Linked DNA regions of Stegostoma tigrinum. The protein of the gene in region 1 binds, or shares a complex with, the protein of each later gene. Links are inferred from orthologs where the notes say so. Each region holds a gene or a part of one and is shown on either strand. Other genes may lie near its edges.

Region 1 (7,037 bases):
CTGCTGTTCCTGCAACCTTCGGGTGGCATCATTGTGGCACTGCTGGAGGCCCACGATGGACGTGTCATCTAAAGAATGGGAGGGTGAGTGGAAATGTTTTGCGACTGGGAGGTGCAGTTGTTTATTGCGAACCGAGCGGAGGTGTTCTGCAAAGCGGTCCCCAAGCCTCCGCTTGGTTTCCCCATTTCCACTCCCCCTCCCATTCTTTAGATGACACGTCCATCGTGGGCCTCCTGCAGTGCCACAATGATGCCACCCGAAGGTTGCAGGAACAGCAATTCATATTCCGCTTGGGAACCCTGCAGCCCAATGGTATCAATGTGGACTTCACCAGCTTCAAAATCTCCCCTTCCCCCACCGCATCCCAAAACCAGCCCAGTTCGTCCCCTCCCCCCACTGCACCACACAACCAGCCCAGCTCTTCCCCTCCACCCACTGCATCCCAAAACCAGTCCAACCTGTCTCTGCCTCCCTAACCTGTTCTTCCTCTCACCCATCCCTTCCTCCCACCCCAAGCCGCACCTCCATCTCCTACCTACTAACCTCATCCCACCTCCTTGACCTGTCTGTCTTCCCTGGACTGACCTATCCCCTCCCTACCTCCCCACCTATACTCTCCTCTCCACCTATGTTCTCTTCTCTCCATCTTCGGTCCGCCTCCCCCTCTCTCCCTATTTATTCCAGAACCCTCATCCCATCCCCCTCTCTGATGAAGGGTCAAGGCCCGAAACATCAGCTTTTGCACTCCTGAGATGCTGCTGGGCCTGCTGTGTTCATCCAGCCTCACATTTCATTATCTTGGATTCTCCAGCATCTGCAGTTCCCATTATCACTGCATATTAAAGAGATTTGCCAGTTAACCACCCAAGAGAGTGTAGTTAGCTTCAGCTGTCAAAACTATGACAAAGAAAGTTAGCTGTTTGCCAGTTACTTTCTAACCTGCTCAAATCAGTTAATTATAAATACTGTACATTCGCAAAATGATAATAAATTGACGAGTGTCTGTCAGTGACCACACACTTGTTTCTAAATATTAAATGATCAAGATTTGGCTAAAATGTCAAAAGATGTCTAAATAAAAAAGTATTTAATACAGCTGATGAAACTTTTAGTTAATTTTTAACATAGGTTGAACTACTGGTGATAGAATACGAAAAAAAAACCTAATTTTTATTATTTTTTAAAATGTCCTCTGATCAATCTCCAGCTTGGTGGGCTTCTAGCGCTTTTCTGAAATCGTTAAAAGCAGCTAAGTGCAGCATGATTCAGCCACAGGTGAGTAATCTTCACGACAGTCCCTTCAGTCAGTCAACTACTTATTACTTGACCGAACCAGAGATTGGATTCATACGGGAGAAGTTGAAGGGAGAAAACTCCAGCTTCATTATGAGTTGACACATGTCTCTGCTCTATTTATTTACTCAGAAAAAAAAACTTAAATATATAATTAAGCAATCGATTTTTTCTCGAAAAGTTAGTTATTCATAAGTTTCTAATGGGAAGGGGGAGCTACTGACCGAAATTGTATTTTTAAGTCACCAAAAACATTCAAATGGTATGTTCTATTTCACATAAGATGGTAAGCGCCAAAAACTTTGAAGAAGTTTGTGTGCTGGTGATCTATGTTCCTAAACGTATTTAAGAAGGACAATTTCAAAACACTAACTGTACAAACCGCCAGACCAAACACATTTTGTCTTTTTTCTTCGTTATACAGTAAATATAGACGAAATGGATTCCTGGCATGTTGCATGCATCAGGGAAAAAAAACTTTCAGGTGCTATTTAACTTCAAAATTAATCGACAGTTAACAGTGAAACCCGTTTCTTTTTAAAAACGGACTGAAAATCAAGGGATTAAGAAACGTCAGCAAAGGCCTTCTGACATTTATTTTCAGAAACCACACGTGGAAATACTATAAATAAAACGCAAGTTAAATGTCAACATTTACGTCTGCCCGATCAGGTCCCGCTTATTTTATCAATTTAAACAAAAGCGGGAATCGTCCCGGGGGCAGAAATCGTAGATTATTAAATCACCAAGAGCTGCTCAAAAATATCCCACCAGTTCGGTCGTGAGCAGGAGAGAAGCGCCTTGCGATTTGTAAACACATTCAGACGGTGCAAAAATCACATAATTTGCGTATACATATCTTCAGCTGTTTTATTTCGGGAGATTTTAAGGATCACTGATCAGAAACAAAACATGGGGAACACCTTTCACAACATTTAATACAAATTGTCTTCACAAACGCCATCCTTTACGGGGCCCCGCCACCACCACCACAACAACAACAACAAAAACAACCCCCACCGCCCCCCAGCCATCATCAAACATCTTGCTGGAGGTTGGGGGGGCGCTGATCTCTCAGAAAGGCGAATATTTACACAATGATAAATAGCTTCTGTCACCCGGAGAGAGCCGTCTGCAGCGCCGCCTTCTTCCTCAGGCCTCGCTTCTTGTAAAACTGTCGCCACAGTCAATGGACTGCACAGCTCCCGCCAACACTTCACAGACCGCCCGCCCGACCGACCGCCACACACACACACACCGAAAGCGGCAACCAGATCACACAACAAAAAAAACCGGACAAAGGCCGGGGAAGGAAGGGAGCCGGGGGTGAGAGAGAGGACAAAGCTGCCTTTTACCTGCCGTGAAACCAGTCTTTGCACGCATCGCATTCAATCATAAATCGAGTTACGTCGTAAGGTAACCGACAGATGCAGTAGACTGGTACAGTCGCCATGTTTTTAGCTGGCTCCCCAGAATGAGAGCAAAGCGCCTTCTTGCCGCACACAACAATTCTTGCAAATGTTTCCTCTTCTTCCCCCTCCGTCAACTCTGTGTTTCTGCGATGGCTGGCCGCCCTGTCTACGGTCTGTGAATTTTTCCTGTCTTGTTTCTCTCTCCTCCGCCCTCCCTCTCCCCGACACACTCAGACATAACCTTCCTTCTGAAGTTGCTCACATCGTCTCTAAGCTGCGGCTCCGGGCACAATGCGCTCGCTCTCCCTCTCTGCCGTTGCCTGACAGTTGTATACTGTACGGAGCAGACTGTATCCTTTCATTGCTAAATTACGTCAGGCAACTCACTGGCTCTCAGAGCTTCAATACTATTGTAACCAGTGCATCGACACTGAGCAGCCAGCTCCCCTGCCACAATGTAACAACAGCCTGCTTCCCATCAAACTTCAGAAATAGGGACAGCAAAACACACCTTCATTTTTATTTGCGCCTTAAAAGTTGTCCATGGATCTGTAACTGTATCCGCACTATACCCTTCCCCTCTGTCTAAAGCTGTTACTTATTGCATTTTATGCAGTAAAAAAGTATCGTAAACGCAGAGTCAAATTTTAAAAATTGGAAGTTAGTTACGATCAAAAGAATATTGAAAGGTTGCTAGAGAAATAACATATTACCACGCCACGTTATTTGTTGAATGGGCAAAGTAATTTTAGAACATGAATTCTCTACTCACATTCTGGAACAAACCACGTTTGGGAAAAAAAGTGATGTTTATTTATGCTAGCCAGAAAAAAATGTAATATGTAATACAGTAATTATGGATACAAACAACTGATCAATTCTTGAATTATGATAGAGGACCTCGAGGTATAACTGATATTTTTACATCACGTGTAAATTTGTTAAAATTTCTATCCGATATGCCAGCTTTACTGCATTCAGCACAGCTATTAAATGGATAAAGAGTAGATAATCATCGTAAATCAAATGGTTGATGTAACTTTAAAATGTGAATTTATACTAATCAACAGTATTCAATTTCAATGAGATAGTAGTGCAGCATCTGTCTAGCTGCAAGTGTACAATAACTATTCCTCTCAGTAGCGAGGTCTGTGTGCAGTTTGATTCTTGCACAGGCAGCATTTTCCCAATAGGGATAAAATATTGAGAATATTTTGTCTTTAAATATTAAAATTAACGTTAAAACATTTGATATTCAATTTCACATTGAAGACTGAACCTTTTTTTGTTTCAAATCAGGTTTAACATTATACTCAGTTTTCAGTCAACATAGTGCCACTGCAGAACTAAGTGAAAATTATCTGCAGAGAATTGTACACTGCTTCACTCTAGGATCACATCAGACCCTAACTCTGGCTCTGCAGTGAAACAAAAATGTGAAATGAAAATTGTTCCACATCAATGCTAAAGTTGTGCTGGCAATCTACCCTAAAGCATTCACTTAACTTTACAGTTCTGTCCACATTTATAAGCCACTTGAAATGCAGTTTTCATATGTTAGATAATCAGGAATCTTCAATTGAATTAAACAAACAGTAATGCTGAAAAGTCTAGAATTATGAAATGAAATCATAAATTTCCTAAATATATAGCTGGGCAATCAGCAACTGAAACAGACAGACAAAGCAACGTGCCAAGGAGAATTTACAGGATAAACTCTTACCTTTCAGTAAAAGCAAAATCACAGGATCATCAAGTCTTTACAGCACAGAATGAAATTAATCAGCCATTGTGTCCGCACCAACTCTCCAAACGAACATCATGACTTACTGGCATTCTTGTATCTTTTCCCTTTACTGTTGCACATTATTTAAGCAGAAACAGTCATTAATGCCCGCTTGAATATCTCAATTGAATCCACCTTTACTACACTTTCAGGCGGCATTTTCTCGGCCCATTGTGTAAAAAAAAATTCTCTCACACCTCACTTGCTTCTTTTGCAAATCATTTTAAGTCTGTGTTTTCTTGTTTTTGATTCTTTTACAAGCAAGAGCAGTTTTTCCCAGTCTACTTTACCCCTTCATGATTTTGAAAATTTCCATCAGCTCGCCTCTTACGCTTGTCCTCTACAAAAAGAAGTCTCCCCTCTATTCCTATTACTAAGCTTTCTCATTCCAAGAACCATCTTTGTAGATATATTTGGCATTTTCTCCAATGTCTTCATATCCTTCCAAAAGTGTGGCACCCATAACTGTAAACAATACTGCAGCTAAGACCTGACAAGTGCCTTTCATAAGTTCAACATCATCTCCTTTACTACTTGTCTATTAACTACTCTCTCCACCTGCCCTGCTATCATCAATAATCTGTGCATGTTTACTTCCAGAACCCTCTGTTTCTGCAACCCCTTTAGAATATCCAAGGTACCTCACTTTGCTGCATTAAACTTGATCTGCTACCTAACCACCCACTCCACCAACATGTCCACGTCCTTCTGAACTTCTCCACTGTCTTTCACACAGTTTACAATCATCCATATCCTTTGAAATTATCCACTATGTACAAAGATCCAGACTATTAATATACATCAAGAAAATCATGAATCCCAATAGCAACCCCTGGGGGACTCGATTAAAAATCTTCCTCCAGCACAAAAAATATCAATTGACCACTGATCTATGTTTTCTGTTACTCAGCCAATTTTGTATCCATGTTGATAGTCACTTTTATTCCATGAACTATCACTTTTTCCACATCTTCGGTATGGTATTTGCATGTCCATTCATGCCACATCAATAACTTTATACTGATTAATTCCTGTATTTTGAAAAATTTCAGCAAGTTAGTTAAATGTGATTTCCCCTTTAGAAATGCATCTTGGCTCATGCTAATCAACCTACTTTTTTCAACATGACGACAAATTGTACCCCAAATAATTGATTCCAGAAGCTTTCCTACCACTGATGTTAAATTGATTAATCTTCAGGTTGCCAGGCTTATCCTTACATCATTTTTGAACAAGAGTGTGATTATTGCAATTCTACAGTCTTCTGACTCCTCTCCTGAGCCCAGGGAAAACTGAAAGATTTTGGCCACTGTCACTGCAACTTCCACCCTCACTTCTTTAATAAATCCTGGATGCATCTGCCAGCCCCAGGATGTTGTCAACTTTAAGTACCAACAGTCAATACAACATTTCTTCCAGTAATTTTGGCTCTAGTGACCAACCTTTGTCACCATGACCTGGGTAATAATCACTTCCTTCTTTACGACAGATGCAAACTATTAATTTAGTTTGCTCCCATTCTCCACATGTAAATCCCCTTTTCCATCCTTGATTCGTCCTATCCCACATTTTGTGACTCCCTCACTATTTTACATCTTTTGAAGACTTTGAGGTTCCCTTTATGTTGGCTGCCAGTCTGTTCTTGTAATTCATTTTTGCTTCTCTAACATGCTTTCTCAACTCCCTTCTGAATCTTTAATCTTTTGCTTAGTCCTCAATTGTATTTTCAACCTGACACCTGCCATAAAAATACTTTTCTCTCTTTTTCTTAATTTCTATCTCATTTGTCATCCAGTGACATCAGGATTTGTTTGTCCTATCTTTCCTATTTGAAGGAATACACCTTGACTGTATTCAATAGACAATAGGTGCTGGAGTAGGCCATTCATTACGATCTTGGCTGATCATCCACAATCAGTATCCTGTTCTTGCCTTATCCCCATAACCCTTCATTCCACTATCTTTAAGAGCTCTATCTATCTCTTTCTTGAAACTATCCAGAGACTTGGCCTCCACTGCCTTCTGGGGCAGAGCATTCCATATATCCACCACTCTCTGGGTGAAGAAGTTTTTCCTCAACTCTGTTCTAAATGGCCTACCCCTTATTTTTAAACTGTGTCCTCTGGTTCTGGACTCACCCATCAGCGGAAACATGCTTCCTGCCTCCAGAGTGTCCAATCCCTGAATAATCTTATACGCCTCAATCAGATCCCCTCTCATCCTTCTAAACTCAAGTGTATTCAAACCATCTCCTTTTTTGACACAGCCGATTGCTCAGAAACAGTGTCTCCTGAACCTTTCGTTCCAGTCAATCCAGCCCAACTCCTTTCTTTTGCCCATTGAAGTCGGGTCTATGCCAACTGTTATTTTCATACTTCTGTATTGAACATTATCACTTACTCCATTATCCTAAACATTACAACAGAATGATCATTTCTTCCTCAATGTTTCTCCACTGGCACTTGATCTACTTGACCCACTTCATTTTCAAGAACCAGGTCCAACACTGTATCCTTTGCTTTTCGACCAGACACATACTGGTGTCG
Region 2 (7,547 bases), on another chromosome or scaffold:
GGGGAGTGCTGCTGACAAACAGATCTTGGAGTGCAGGTTCATAGTTCCTTGAAAGTGGAGCGTCAGGTAGACAGGGTAGTGAAGATGGCTTACAGTATGCTTGCCTTTATTGGTCAGTACATTTGAGTATAGGAGTTGAGAGGTCATGTTGGGGTTGTACACAACATTAGTTCGGCCACTTTTGGAATACTGCATGTAATTTTGGTCTCCCTCCCATAGGAAGGATGTTGTGAAACTTGAACGGGCTCAGAAAATATTTACAAAGATGATGACAGGGTTGGAGGGTTTGAGCTAATGGGGGAGGCTGAATAAGCTAGGGCTATTTTCCTTGGAGTGTCAGCAGCTGAGGAGTGACCTTATAAAGGTTTATAAAACTATGAGGGGCATGGCTAGTCAAAATCTTTTCCCCACAACTGGGGAATCCAAAACTACAAAGCATAGGCTTAAGGAGAGAGAAAAAAAAAAAGAGTAAAAGGGACACAAGAGAAAACTTCAAGCAGATGGTGGTGCATGTATGGAATGAGCTAGTCGAGGAACAGGAGGAGGCTGGTATAATTACAACGTATAAAAGGCATCTGGATGGGGAAATGGCCCAAATACTGGAAAATAAGACTAGATTAATTTAAGATGCCTGCTCAGCGTGGGCAAGTTGGACCGAATGGTCTATTTCCTTGCTGTATATTTCTACTACTTTATGACCATATTCCTTGGTGAATCACATTATTAGGGGTTGAGGAGGGGTTGAAGAGGATAGCAACAGGGCAAACAGTGGAGGGAGTGGGCAGACGGAGGAGGTGCAAGAGGCAGTGCGGGAAGAGTTGGGGGGGGGGAAAACAGTGTGGGGACAGCAGGGAGGGTGTCTGTGTGGGGGGGGGGTTTGGGGTAAGGGTAGGGGTTGGCAGGTACTGGAGTGAGGGTAGTAGAGCAGATGGGTTTGCAGGGAGGAGTGGCAGGAGGCCACTGCAGTAGGGGTGAAGACGAGGGTGGTTCAGGCAGAGGGATGCAGGGGGACGGGGGTTAATGCAGGGGGCGTTAATTCAGAGGGGGAGGCTAATGCAGGGGGCGTTAATTCAGAGGGGGGGGAGGAGTTAATGCAGGGGGCGTTAATTCAGAGGGAGGGGAGTTAATGCAGGGGGCACTAATTCAGAGGGGGGGGTAATGCAGGGGGCGTTAGTTCAGAGGGGGGGTAATGCAGGGGGCATTAATTCAGAGGGGGGAGTTAATGCAGGGGGCGCTAATTCAGAGGTGGGGTAATGCAGGGGGCGTTAATTCAGAGGTGGGGTAATGCAGGGGGCATTAATTCAGAGGGGGGTAATGCAGGGGGCGTTAATTCAGAGGGAGGGGAGTTAATGCAGGGGGCGTTAATTCAGAGGGAGGGAGGGGTAATGCAGGGGGCGTTAATTCAGAAGGGGGGGTAATGCAGGGGGCGTTAATTCAGAGGGAGGGAGGGATAATGCAGGGGGCGTTAATTCAGAGGGAGGGAGGGGTAATGCAGGGTGCGTTAATTCAGAGGGAGGGGAGTTAATGCAGGGGGCGCTAATTCAGAGGGGGGGTAATGCGGGGGGGGGTAATGCAGGGGGCGTTAATTCAGAGGGGGGGTAATGCAGGGGACATTAATTCAGAGGGAGGGGAGTTAATGCAGGGGGCGTTAATTTAGAGGGGGGAGTTAATGCAGGGGGCGTTAATTCAGAGGTGGGGTAATGCAGGGGGCGTTAATTCAGAGGGGGGGTAATGCAGGGGGCATTAATTCAGAGGGAGGCGAGTTAATGCAGGGGGCGCTAATTCAGAGGGGGGGTAATGCAGGGGGCATTAATTCAGAGGGGGGTAATGCAGGGGGCGTTAATTCAGAGGGAGGGGAGTTAATGCAGGGGGCGTTAATTCAGAGGGAGGGGAGTTAATGCAGGGGGCATTAATTCAGAGGGAGGGGAGTTAATGCAGGGGGCATTAATTCAGAGGGAGGGGTTTAATGCAGGGGGCATTAATTCAGAGGGAGTGGGTAATGCAGGGGGCGTTAATTCGGAGGCGGGGTGTAATGCAGGGGGTGTTAATTCAGAGGGAGGGGGGTAATGGAGGGGGCGTTAATTCAGAGGGAGGGGGGTAATGGAGGGGGCGTTAATTCAGAGGGAGGGGGGTAATGGAGGGGGCGTTAATTCAGAGGGAGGGGGGTAATGGAGGGGGCGTTAATTCAGAGGGAGGGGGGGTAATGGAGGGGGCGTTAATTCAGAGGGGGGGTAATGGAGGGGGCATTAATTCAGAGGGAGGGGGGGTAATGGAGGGGGCGTTAATTCAGAGGGGGGGGGTAATGGAGGGGGCGTTAATTCAGAGGGGGGGTAATGGAGGGGGCATTAATTCAGAGGGAGGGGAGTTAATGCAGGGGGCATTAATTCAGAGGGAGGGGTTTAATGCAGGGGGCGTTAATTCAGAGGGAGGGGGGGTAATGCAGGGGGCGTTAATTCAGAGGGAGGGGGGGTAATGCAGGGGGCGTTAATTCAGAGGGAGGGACGGGGGGTAATGCAGGGGGCGTTAATTCAGGGGGGGGTAATGCAGGGGGCGTTAATTCAGAGGGGGGTAATGCAGGGGGCATTAATTCAGAGGGAGGGGGGGTAATGCAGGGGGCGTTAATTCAGAGGGAGGGGGGGTAATGCAGGGGGCGTTAATTCAGAGGGGGGTAATGCAGGGGGCATTAATTCAGAGGGAGGGGGGGTAATGCAGGGGGCGTTAATTCAGAGGGAGGGGGCGTTAATTCAGAGGGAGGGGGGGTAATGCAGATTAAGGGGGTTAATGCGGAAGCAGCTCCAGCACAGACCGGTGAATAGACATGGGGCGATCAGCTTGAGTTTTCGGCCTGCTTGCTGTGAGCCTGCGTTTTCTCCTTTTGCCTTGTGTCCCATCTGGCCCACCCCAGGTCACACTCACCCCAGCCGCTGATGGAGATCTTTCTGGTCGCTCGCTCTCGCTCTCTCTGAAATTGGCGCACAAACTGTCAATTTCCCGTGGCCCCGTGCCAGATCACACTAACAATCCTCCTCATTGGTCAGCACCGCAATGAGTAAAGAGGCATCCCATTAGCCGCGACGGACCCCGCCCTTTGCCCAATCCGCGGTGAGATTGTGAGTCGGGAGGCGGAGCCACTAACTGTCCATCAAAGCCTACAACAACAACAACAACAACAACTTAATACCTCTCCCACCTCTGCTGCAGAGTCCCACTTAACCCCCAAATCCTTGATGAGAGCTTTGGAACTGGAGATCATCTCACCTTCAGAACCAGAATTTGCTATAAAATCTCAGCTGATCTGGCAGCATGTGTGGAGAGAAAGTAGAGTTACTGTTTCGAGTCCAGTGGTTCTTCATCAGACTTAATCATGGTATGTCAATTTCCATCTGCATTTTGTCCCCTGCTGACATTCTTCTGCAATTTCTGTTTTTGCTTTGGGGGGTGTCCTGGTGATTTGGCAGGGTCACCACATACGGATTCAGGTGCCAGGTAGAAGCCATGTGTCTAGGTCAGAAGCCACACCAGGAACATTGATTTCTGTCCAAATCGCTGCATGGCACCACCATTTGCAAGTTCCTGTCTAAGACATACCATCCTGACTTGGAACTTTGTTGCTATCCTTCACTGTTGCCAGATCAAGATCATGAAAACCTCTTCCTTCTGTTTTCATTGAGAATCCTTCCCAAATCTACTACTCTGAAGGAAAAAAAACACTTGATTAGATTTTCAGAAATGGTTCACTTTAATCTCAAAGTGAAAATAACATCTGTTAATATAGGCAGATTTTTTCTCATTCGTTGTATGTTGCATTCTGTCTTTTTTATTCTGTGTTCATTGTTTTAGGTAGCTCACTTGTAGCTCAATGGAGGGGTGTTACAACTTAGCCTGCCCATCAGGCCCTTGAAGTTTAGTTAACTTATAACTTCATATTTTCTAGTTTAACAAGTTTACATTTTATGACCTCAATCTTGGATGAATCCATTTGTACATTTTTTGATCAGTACCTTAAAGTAACTACAATTGACCAGAAGATGGTGTTAACAGTTCTAATGGGTTTAGAATTGGGTGAGACCATAAAACCAGGTGAGAGATATCCCAGGTTGCTGTGGGTGGCAACAGAGTAGATTTCAAGGGCTCTGGCATTAAATCCCCTCTGGATACAGGAAATGTGCCAAAGGACAGAGGCGCAGCCAATGTGGACCCATTTTTCAAGAAGAATGGTAGGGATAAAACTGGGAAGTATAGTGAGTCTAACATCTGTGGTGGAGGAACTGTTGGAGAAAATTCTGCGGTACAGATTAATCCCCACATGAAGAGACAAGGATTAATCAAGAATGGCATGGCTTTGTCAAGAGGAGATCATGCCTAACAACTTTTTTGAAGAGGTGACTAGATGTGTGGATGAGGGCTTTTAATACAATCAAAGGATGTGAACATCTCTGGATGGGCCAGCATTCAGTGCCCATTCCTAATTGCCCAGAGGGCAGTTAAAAGCCAACCATATTGCAGTGGGTCTGGAGTCATGTGTAGGCCAGACCAGGTAAGGATGGCTCATTTCCTTCCCTAAAGGACATTAGTGAATGAGATGGGTTTTTTCCCTTGACAATCGACAACTGTTTCATGGCCATCAGCGGACTTTTGTGTCCAGAGTATTATTAAATTCAAATTCTGTCACCTGCCATGTCCCCAGAACATTGCCTGGATCTCTGGATTAGTAGCCTAGTGATAATACTACCATGCCACCACCTAATCTATGGAAGTGTGCTGGATGTAGTCTACATGAACTTCAGTAAGGCTCTTGACAAGGTTTCACATAGAAGATTGGTTTAGAAACTAAGACCCCATGGAATCCAGGGAAATCTGGCAAATTGGAGTCAGTTTGGAGGCAGTTTGTGTAGTGTGATAGTCTTTGTGTCTGGAAATTTATAACCAGTGGTGTACCACATTGTTTGCTGCTGCTTCGCTGCTGTTTGTAGTGTGCATTAAAGGTCTGGACATGAATATAGGAGGTTTATACAGGAAGTGCACAGATCACATGAAAATTGAGGTTTGTTGAACTGAAAGGAGGAAAGCCTTCGATGACAGGCTAGTATAGATGTGCTGGCAGAACAAGGCAAATGGAATTTAATCCAAAAAAGTATAAAGTGATGCATTTCGGTGTACATGATGACAAGACAAGAAAGTCGTGACGCCCGAGGAAATGCATGTGATCAGAAGGCCTTTAGTGTGCACATCCAAAGATCCTTGAAAGCAACAGGACAGTTTGATAAGGTGGTAAAGAATGCATATGGGTGCTTGCCATTATTAGTTGAGGTTTTGAACATAAGAGCAGGGAGATTATGATGCACCTGCACAACATGCTACTTAAGCCATAACTGAAGTAAAGTTCACACTGTTGGAGAGAAATGTTGCCTGAGTTTGGAATGTTTCAGCTACGAAGACAGAATAGTTAGGCTGATGTTGTTTTCCTTAGAGCAGTGAAGGGAAAAAGCGGAACCTGACAGAGAAATGCAAAAATTATGGAACAACAGAGATAGGGTGGTTAGGAAAGAATCTTTTCCCCTTAGTAGAGTACTCCATAACAAGGGGTATAGATTTAAGGAGCAAAAGCAGAAATTGCTGGTAATAAGTGTGGAGAGAAATCAGAGTTAATGTTTCTGGTTGAGTTTCTGATGTTGTTTCTGATTTACAACAACCACAGTTTTTCAGATTTTGACAGGGATTTGAAGTACATGTTTAGAGGCGATTAAGGGAACATTTTAATCCCAAACACAGTGTGAATCTGGAATTCACTGCCTGAAAAGATAGTAAAGGTGGCAGCTATCACAACATTCAAGAAGTAGATAGGAGTTTGATCTCCGGCATAGAAATAATGGACTGAACTTTCCCACACTATAAAACTCTGACTTGTGCCTCAGTAAGGATGTGTTAATACCAGCAATTTGAAATATGGATAAATTAATGAGATCACAAATTTAATTTCAAATTTGCATCTGACCCTCATGTCCTGTGGCAGACACTTGCAGAGCCCATGAAGTCAAAAAGATCGAATGGCCCCACTTTACATCATCACTTCCTCTTTTCTCTCAATGATTTTTTTTCCCCCCGAAACATTTAATGGAATTAGAAGAAATAAAATTAGCAGCGGGACTTTTTTTTAACTGAAGTATATAATGGAATACCCCATAGGCATTATCATCTAACTAACTGCTACTCTGAGACCAGCCCGGTCTTTTCAGTCTAGTTGTTTGGTCATGTAACCAATTACTACTGACAATATTAATGGGAATTGCAGATGCTGGAGAATCCGACAATACAATGTGTGGAGCTGGATGAACACAGCAGAATAAAGCTTTACTGATGAAGAGTCAAGACCCGAAACGTCAGCTTTTGTGCTCCTAAGATGCTGCTTGGCCTGCTGTGTTCATCCAGCTCCACACTTTGTTATCTCTAACTACTGACAATGGACAGGTTAGAGAGGATCAACTAGTGCTGGTATTTGTCCATGATGGAAGAAAATAAGGAAGGAAAATTTGTAAATTAGCCTTAGATCTTACAGACTGATAAGTAGCCCTGATCTATTTTACATAAAATATTGTATTTTTAGTTTTTTTTTACATTATATTTGTTGGTAATGGGATGTATTTGGTATAATTTCATGCAATTTATGCATATTTGGATAACTCCAGAGATGTTGGCAATATTTTTCTTATATTAAACATTCAGGAAAACAAACCTGATTACGAGGTATGAAGCACATAAAACTGTAATTAAATATTTACTTCATGGAAGAAAAATAATTTGTGAGGAAGACAAAGTGAATATGAAAATCTCTAGCTCAGTAGACAGGTTCATGTAGTTTCTTTTTAAATTATTAAACTACTGTGAAAGGTATCACATGGACAGTTCTGTGAAACGAGAGAACCTGTGACTGTGTTTTCACATCAAGCTACAAACAATGAGATGAGTGCAACAGAAAATGCCTACGAGGGACAGCTGCAAACATCTGTACTCACTAACAATGTGGATGCCAAAGATGTCACTACTGTTCAACAGGACACAAGTTTAAATAATGGACTGAAAGCTAAACCAAAGAAACATGTCAGTTTTCCTTCAGGGGGAGAGATCGTCTCTGGATCAGCAGAACCCTGGAATCCATGGGAAGCTGGTAAGTACAGGACATTATTTCTTGAACATGTCCAAGTAAAATTAAACCTCCATATTACAAGCCATTAAGTATGGCTAAGATAGTGCTAATCAGACATTTTTGTGAAAATGAGGATTTACATTTTTGTGGCACCTTTCATGGCTATTCAACATCTCAAAGCACTTTAAAGCCACCTGAGTAATTTTGAAGTATCGTCATAGAAACAAAGATAGGATCAGGAGGAGGCCATTCAGCCCTTCAAGCCTGCTTCGCCATTCCTCACGCTCATGGCTGATTGTCCAACTCAAAAGCCTAATCCTGCTTTCTCCCCATAACAAAGAACAAAGAAAATTACAGCACAGGAACAGGCCCTTCGGCCCTCCAAGCCTGAGCCGATTGAGAT

Evidence for each region.
Region 2: the proteins of phf2 (region 1) and vrk1 are in contact, whole or in part, in a crystal structure (PDB 8F8Y), measured with the Homo sapiens proteins. The link is inferred for Stegostoma tigrinum from reciprocal best matches to the Homo sapiens genes PHF2 and VRK1. Residues at the interface, in NP_005383.3 of Homo sapiens: Tyr7, Tyr14, Val16, Thr17, Arg18, Phe19, Met20, Ile21, Glu22, Trp29, Glu39, Ala42, Ile45, Asp46, Tyr48, Lys64, Tyr145, Ser147, Glu150, Lys175, Val178, Asp179, Tyr182, Ser183, Thr184; in NP_003375.1 of Homo sapiens: Pro2, Arg3, Val4, Lys5, Ala6, Ala7, Gln8.

What each region holds. Positions count from the first base shown.
Region 1 is NC_081364.1:27,942,265-27,949,301, forward strand, and holds the start of phf2 (lysine-specific demethylase phf2), read right to left. Parts: upstream 3,105-7,037; 5' UTR 2,747-3,104; coding exon 2,649-2,746; exon of another isoform or gene 2,499-2,648; intron 1-2,498. UniProt on the Homo sapiens protein: Lysine demethylase that demethylates both histones and non-histone proteins. Enzymatically inactive by itself, and becomes active following phosphorylation by PKA: forms a complex with ARID5B and mediates demethylation of methylated ARID5B.
Region 2 is NC_081363.1:21,077,876-21,085,422, forward strand, and holds the start of vrk1 (serine/threonine-protein kinase VRK1), read right to left. Parts: upstream 3,033-7,547; 5' UTR 2,917-3,032; intron 1-2,916. Other genes in the region: si:dkey-288a3.2 (protein phosphatase 1 regulatory subunit 37), read left to right, coding at 5,164-5,271, 6,889-7,165. UniProt on the Homo sapiens protein: Serine/threonine kinase involved in the regulation of key cellular processes including the cell cycle, nuclear condensation, transcription regulation, and DNA damage response.